2 linked regions of the Caenorhabditis elegans genome follow. The protein of the gene in region 1 binds, or shares a complex with, the protein of each later gene. Each region holds a gene or a part of one and is shown on either strand. Other genes may lie near its edges. The genes, in order: spt-16 and hmg-3.

What was found.
Region 2: spt-16 (region 1) and hmg-3 share a complex: the UniProt entries of both Caenorhabditis elegans proteins name them as parts of the FACT complex.

The regions. Positions count from the first base shown.
Region 1 is NC_003279.8:10,786,941-10,790,867, forward strand, and holds the start of spt-16 (FACT complex subunit spt-16), read left to right. Parts: upstream 1-2,189; 5' UTR 2,190-2,196; coding exon 2,197-2,268; intron 2,269-2,316; coding exon 2,317-2,409; intron 2,410-2,459; coding exon 2,460-2,915; intron 2,916-3,276; coding exon 3,277-3,927. UniProt on the Caenorhabditis elegans protein: Component of the FACT complex, a general chromatin factor that acts to reorganize nucleosomes. The FACT complex is involved in multiple processes that require DNA as a template such as mRNA elongation, DNA replication and DNA repair.
Region 2 is NC_003279.8:5,816,206-5,820,132, reverse strand, and holds the start of hmg-3 (FACT complex subunit ssrp1-B), read left to right. Parts: upstream 1-2,000; 5' UTR 2,001-2,007; coding exon 2,008-2,244; intron 2,245-2,315; coding exon 2,316-2,953; intron 2,954-3,041; coding exon 3,042-3,927. Other genes in the region: Nuclear hormone receptor family member nhr-2, read left to right, coding at 1-457, 508-1,029, 1,148-1,261. UniProt on the Caenorhabditis elegans protein: Component of the FACT complex, a general chromatin factor that acts to reorganize nucleosomes. The FACT complex is involved in multiple processes that require DNA as a template such as mRNA elongation, DNA replication and DNA repair.

The sequences.
Region 1 (3,927 bases):
TGTCCAATTGAATTAAAAAGCTATTTTCAGATACACAAACTGTTTCTCTACATTCTATCACCAAAAGAACTCCCAGTTCAACTATTTTCAGAACGATAAGCACCTTTTCATTATCACTGATCTCCACGTAGCGAGCTCTCGCAGCTGTCCATGATGCGGTTGTAGCCTGTGCTGATTTTCGAATCAAATCCATCTCCTTATCGTCTTTAACTGCGAACAGATGAGTAAACGCGAGAGTAACGTCATTCTTATTGACACCGCCTTCCTCGAGCGCCTTATTCCACGAACTGACGAATTCCGAGCTGAATTTCTCTTTGACGAAATTTCCAACATCTCCGCCTGCACTTTTGATGTGATCAATGAGCTTTTCAAAGTTTCCAGCGTCTTTATCGGTTTTATCGCGGAGCAGTGTGCTGACTGTTGGCACTTTTCCTGAGCTCTGATTGTCTCCAGTGACTGATCCGAAGAATTCGACTTTGCGATTACTTCCGAGAATGTAAATGTGATCATTGAGAAGCAACAGGACTGTGTCAGCGATTTCGTGGCCAAAAAGCCAGGTCTGAAATAAAAATTTGTCTTGAGTTTGAACAAAGTCTGAAAAATCCTTACAAATAGTTCGCTGGTCTTTGTATATGGATTATCAGTCTCTCCGTATACAAAAGCAAGTGATTTGATCGAATCTAGACCATCGGCTCCCTTCTCCTGTAAAATATTTGTAAAAAAGTAAAAACTATCAAAAACAGATCCAATGAAAATAAAATGGAACTCGGTAATTTTCAAACTCAATCTCACAATTTTTCGATGGAAAACATTTTAAAAATATAGCAATTCTACAGCTTTTATGGCAAAAAAATAGGGAAAAAATTAGAATTCAAAAATGTTCGTCGACAACAACGCAAAACCACAATCGTGTCGAGACCCATCCGAGTAAGCCGATGTCCCTTTAACCAACCCTATCGCGGTTTTTTTTTAAATTTTTAAAATTTCTTCAAATATTTCGTCCGTTTCTCTTGTGGACCGCTGTTAAAATAGTTAAATACTTTATTTTTCAGAAAACAGATAATTTATACCAAATTGACAGATGTAGAGCTAAACTCCTCAAAATTTTCTAAAGTTCTTATAATTTTACTGTTGTCTGCGTTTCAAGGCCTGAAATATTGTAGGCACTATCGTAGGATTACAACCGGATTTGTAACTTTGATTATCTGAAAAGGAAAAATATTAAACTTTTCTTTCAGGATTTTTCGCAATTGCCGGCGTAATAATTGCTAAAAGTCGACTTTAACTTCAATATATTTTAGCATTCCGAATCTGAAACTAGTTCCCAAATGCCATCTCTCCTTATCATTATAGTCTTCTTGCTGGTATTCTTGGAAATTGGATTTTTCCCTGTAATGTGTGGATGTTGGATGGATGTTTGTACACTTCCATTATTCAATATAACATTATCACAAAGAATTGCAACATTTGCCACAGCTCCATTCATGTCAATATTCCTTCATTGGATGGTTGGAATGATTTATGTATTTTATTCAGCGTCATTTGTGATTCTTCTTCGAGAAATCCTTCGTCCTGGTGTACTATGGTTTATGAGAAATCTCAACGATCCCGACTTTAATCCAATTCAAGAAATAATTGATCTACCGTTCACGCGGCATTTCCGAAGACTTGTTGTATCTACAACTCTGTTCTTTTCAACGATTCTTCTGACATCCTACATCCCGCTCAACATAATCTCATCACTTATTCCACATCTTCTACCCTACAGAAACTCCACTTTCTGAACTCTCGCTGGAATTGATGTTTCTTCAAGAATTCATCACAATTGTGTACTCTCACATGGCCCCTCCGTAAATAACATGGCGGGAATATTGCATGCGGAGTGGTTGCGAAAGTGCGTGCGGCTGTTGCGTTCCTTGACCACGCCCAACTTCATTCCATTCTTTTTCGCGCGCAATCCTCACTTTCAGCTCTAATTTTTCAGAGTTTACAGTTCTTCAGTGAAAAAATATTTGTCTCGTCAAAACGTTTTTTTCAAAATTTTAAAATTGTGTCAAAAAAAATTAATTTTTTCGCAAATTTCAAACTTTTAGCCTATCCGAATCCGTTGCTGGTCACTTTGTTTACGTTATCGATTTTTGCTTCCATCTCTCAATCCTCGTGACTTTAACACAATTTCTAACTTTCAGGGGAGAAATGTCTGGAAAACGGGCAGTTCTCAACAAGGATCTCTTTTTCCAGAGAGCGGAGAGGCTTTATGAGCACTGGGTTTGTGACTTTCAGGACTTTACGAATTTTTAATCAAATATTTTACAGGAGAAGGGAGCCGATGGTCTAGATTCGATCAAATCACTTGCTTTTGTATACGGAGAGACTGATAATCCATATACAAAGACCAGCGCACTATTTGTAAGGATTTTTCAGAATTTGTTCAAACTCAAGACAAATTTTTATTTCAGACCTGGCTGTTTGGCCACGAAATCGCTGACACAGTCCTGTTGCTTCTCAAAGATCACATTTACATTCTCGGAAGTAATCGCAAAGTCGAATTCTTCGGATCAGTCACTGGAGACAATCAGAGCTCAGGAAAAGTGCCAACAGTCAGCACACTGCTCCGCGATAAAACCGACAAAGACGCTGGAAACTTTGAAAAGCTCATCGATCACATCAAAAGTGCCGGCGGAGATGTTGGAAATTTCGTCAAAGAGAAATTCAGCTCGGAATTCGTCAGTTCGTGGAATAAGGCGCTCGAGGAAGGCGGTGTCAATAAGAATGACGTCACTCTCGCGTTTACTCATCTGTTCGCAGTGAAAGACGATAAGGAGATGGATTTGATTCGAAAATCAGCACAAGCTACAACCGCATCATGGACAGCTGCAAGAGCTCGCTACGTAGAGATCATTGATCAAGAAAAGGTGCTTATCGTTCTGAAAATAGTTGAACCAGGAGTCCGCTGCAAGCATTTCTACATAATTAGCCAGTTTTTGGTGATAGAATATAATGAAGCAGTTGATGTATCTGAAAATAGCTTTTAATTCAATTGAAAAAGCGGAAGAACTGCTCAAAATCAATCTGAAAGTTGGAAATCACCCGAAAATTAAACTTTCATGCAGTTTTTGAGCGTTCTTCCAGTTGTTTCAATTAAATGTAAAGCTATTTTTAGATGACTAAACTGTTTTTCCTTTTATCTATCACCAATAACTGGCTCATTTTTTAGTACTCCTGGGAAAACCACTGTTTTAATCCCGAGAAAATAATTCTTTTTTATTTTTGCAGCGAGTCCGTCACTCTGTTCTCTCCAATGAGTTTGCCGCCTTCATGAAGGATTCAAAAGTACAACAGGCACTGGCCAAGTATGAAGCCGACACATGCTATGATCCAATCGTAATGTCCGGTGGAAATTACTCGTTCAAATGGAATCATGAAAGCTCGGAATCTCATCTTCACAGCCAGTTTGGAACGATCATCACTTCGTTCGGAGCTCGTTTATCAGAATATTGCACAAATTTGACGCGAACTATGCTCATCTTCCCATCTTCTGAACTTGAGACTGCCTATGAAGCGATTCTTGCCGCCGAGCTGGCAGTAATTGCTGCTCTGAAGCCAGGAGCCAAGCTGAGCGATGTTTATAAAATTGGAATCGATACATTGACGGAGAAAAGTCCAAAACTTGCTGAAACTCTGAACAAGAAAGAGCTTGGATTTGCGACTGGAATCGAATTCCGTGAGAGTCGTCTTGCTATCAGTGCGAAGTGTGACGAGGTTGTCAAAGCAGGAATGGTCTTCATCGTTTATATTGGTGTCGATAGTATTCCAAACAAAAATAAAGGAGAAAAAGGAAAACCCGCCGCAATTGCAATCTCGGATACAATTTTGGTTAAAGAAGAAGGCGATAACGAGATTCTCACCGAAAAAGCCAAATCACGC
Region 2 (3,927 bases), 5.0 Mb from region 1:
TAATCAGCCACAAATGCAATTGACTCCACTTCAACAAGCAAAACCAGAAAAAGAAGAAATCTCACCATATGCAATTAATAATATTCTTTCTTCGACTCAAAGTTCTCCAGACAACGGAAATGAAGCCGATGATAAAGAGAACAGTTCTGTTCGTCGTAACACATTCCCAGCGTCATCTGCTTCAACAAAAAAGCCACGTGGTACTCCATATGACCGTACTAACACACCAATGACAGTAGTTCCACAAATGCCACAGTTTGCTCCAGACTTTTCAAACTATAATCTCACAATGAATGCTTGGAGTGAGTTCTTTAAAAAGGATAGATGTATGGTTTGTGGTGATAACTCTACTGGATATCATTATGGAGTACAGAGTTGTGAAGGATGCAAGGGATTTTTCAGAAGAAGTGTTCACAAGAATATCGCATATGTTTGTACCAAAGGAGAAAATTGCACAGTGAGTTTAATTAGACAAGCATTTCAAAAATATGCTATTATATTTTTCAGTTCTCATATGAAAATTGTGCGGCAAATCGTGGAGTACGTACTCGTTGTCAAGCTTGTCGATTTGCCAAATGCCTCGCAGTTGGAATGAATCGTGACAACGTTCGAGTGAACAAAGAAACTGATAAAGATGTTAAACCATCAGTGGCTTCGCCCAATTTTGAGATGACATCACAAGTGAAAGAGCTTACGGCCGCCTTTGTTGCAAACATGCCATGCTCTACTCACTTAACATCGGGAACTCATGCTATTGGAGCAATTAAGAAATTTATTGAATCAGTTCCAGCTTTGAGCTCACTTTTGCCAAAAGATGAAAAAGCACTTGAAATGAGTATTCAAAAAGTGATGAGTGGTATCTTGGCTATTCGTGCGGCTTTCACATTTGATCCAATCACTTTCTATTCCTGTGAGAATCCAGTAAATTTGCTTCGTGGCGGCATTCGTAATACAGTATTCAATGATTGTGAAGTTGCACTTCTCTCTGGAATTCATATACTTCAAATAGTCAATGGAGGTGTCGCTGAGGTAAGTAATTGTTTGGCATAATGCCAAAATTGTCGGAATATTCCCAAATGACACAATTAATCCCTACCATAACACTCAAGAAAGTAAATATTGCGCCAAGAAAGTTAACCTTTTTCAGATTTTTACGAGTTATTGTCAAGGATTACGCCATCAACTGTCTCAAACACATCTACAAGAGATAGGACTCTGCGATCGATTGCTCATGAGATTGGGACCGTATCTCAATCAATAACAAATATATTACTTCTGATAAATTCAGAACCGATTCGGTGTCTGGACACGCTTCCAACCGGTTCTGAATTCTCACAAAACTTTATTCCTGTCTTATGAATCAATATAGATTCAAAATACTTGTTTAAAGTCCCCTTCCCCCGTTACTATCATTTTCTATTCATGTTCTCAAAGTCTGATCATTTCTTACTGATCTCTTCCTCCAGGTGTGAATTTAATTCTCTATCTCACTCTCTCGTTCGGGCTATATACTGTTTCTTTTTGAATTTCCAATTGATGTTGTTTGTTAGGCTGTTACAGTACCAAAAATTATATTATTTGAAGTTTGTTAAAAACTTAATATATTTGGTACTGCTTCTTGGTTGTTGAAAAGATGAAATAAATATTATTTGATAATTTAACTATTTTGTATGCAGGAAAAAATTTGACGTGCCACAACTTTTACCGTTATTTGTCGTAATTTGTCGTAATAGTAATTTGTCAATTTATTTGTCAAAATTAGTCAATTATTAAAAAAATAATAAAATTAATAGAAACGGTCGTCAGATGCGGTGCTTGCGTATACAGTATACTTCGGTGTTCACGTATGATCGACTACCGTAGTTCTTTGTTTTCGGTTCGACGCGCGAAAAAATTAGAGTGCATTTTTCGAGAATTCATTTTTTTCATTCTTTTCCGGACTTTTCTTGTTCGCGGACGTTTTTCGCTTCTTTTCTTTACACGCGTTATTGACTGACAAGTTTCAGAATGACTGAGCTCAAATTCAAGGGAGTTTACGTGGAGGATATAGGCCATTTAACATGCGGAACGCTTACATTGACTGAAAATTCGATTAACTTCATAGGCGATAAGGGTGGAAAATCAGTTTACATCACAGGAACCGACGTCGATAAACTGAAATGGCAAAAGCTTGGCAACAAGCCGGGACTACGCGTTGGTCTTAGTGATGGAGGTGCTCACCGCTTCGGAGGATTCTTGGATGATGTTAGTTTGTTGTTCGTTTTCTTTATTTTTATACGTTTGTAGTCTCATTTTATTCAAATTCGAAATTTCAGGATCTTCAGAAAATCCAATCGTTCACTTCTTCTAACTGGTCTAAATCTATCAATCAATCAAATCTTTTCATCAATGGATGGAACTATGGGCAGGCCGATGTCAAAGGCAAAAATATTGAATTTTCATGGGAAAATGAACCGATTTTCGAAATTCCGTGCACGAATGTGTCAAACGTCATTGCCAACAAAAATGAGGCTATTTTGGAGTTCCATCAGAATGAACAAAGCAAAGTTCAGCTGATGGAGATGAGATTCCATATGCCAGTTGATCTAGAAAATGAGGAGGATACTGATAAAGTAGAAGAATTCAAGAAAGCAGTGCTGGCATATGCTGGATTGGAGGCTGAAACTGAGCAACCAATATGCCTTCTCACTGATATTCTGTGCACAACACCTCGTGGAAGATATGATATTAAAGTTTATCCGACAAGTATTGCACTCCACGGAAAGACGTACGATTACAAGATTCCTGTCAAAACGATCAATCGTCTATTCTTGGTTCCTCATAAAGATGGACGCCAAGTATATTTTGTGTTGTCGTTGAACCCACCCATTCGCCAGGGACAGACACACTACAGTTATCTCATTTTCGAGTTTGGGAAGGATGAAGAAGAAGATTTGGAGTTGTCGTTGACTGAGTGAGTTTATTTCAGAATTTTCTGGGAACAATTCCGTGCCACTCAAATATATTTTATATTGCCGTCCAATAATTTGAGAGTATTTCAGTGAACAACTCGACTATTTCAATGGAAATCTTCAACGTGAAATGACTGGACCAATCTATGAGACAATCTCAATTCTCTTCAAATCAATTTGCAATCTGAAAGTCACCGTTCCTGGACGATTCCTCGGAAGTTCGGGCACTCCTGCCATACAATGTACACATCGTCAGAACCTTGGATTGTTGTACCCAATGGAAAAGGGATTTTTGTTTATTCAAAAGCCGGTCATGTACATTCGCTTTGAAGAGATTAGCTCATGTCATTTCGCACGTTCTGATAGCGGAACTGTAACAAGAACTTTTGATTTTGAGATTGATCTGAAAACTGGATCATCGTTGACTTTCAGTGCAATGGATAAAGAAGAGAACAACAAACTATTCGACTATCTAAACAAGAAAGAGATCAAAATTCGCAATTCTCATCGTATCGATAACAAATCAGCTGGTTATGGAAGCAGCGATGAAGATGATATCGATCCATACAAGTCAACTGTGAAAGCAGAGGGTCGTGAACAAGATGATGACAGCGATGATGAAAGTACTGATGAGGATTATGATTTGGATAAGGATATGAAGAAGCAGAAGAATGACAAAGACTCATCAGAAGGTTCTGGAAGTGAACCTGACGATGAATATGATTCTGGCTCAGAGAAAGATGCTTCAGGAACTGGAGAATCTGATCCAGATGAAGAGAATATTGAACCAAAAAAGAAGGAGAGTAAAGAAAAGAAGAATAAACGCGAGAAGAAAGAGAAGCCGGTAAAGGAGAAAGCTGTGAAGAAAGGAAAGAAAACTAAAGATCCAAATGAGCCGAAACGAGCAACCACTGCATATATCATCTGGTTCAATGCCAATCGTAATTCAATGAAAGAAGATGGGGATACACTCGGA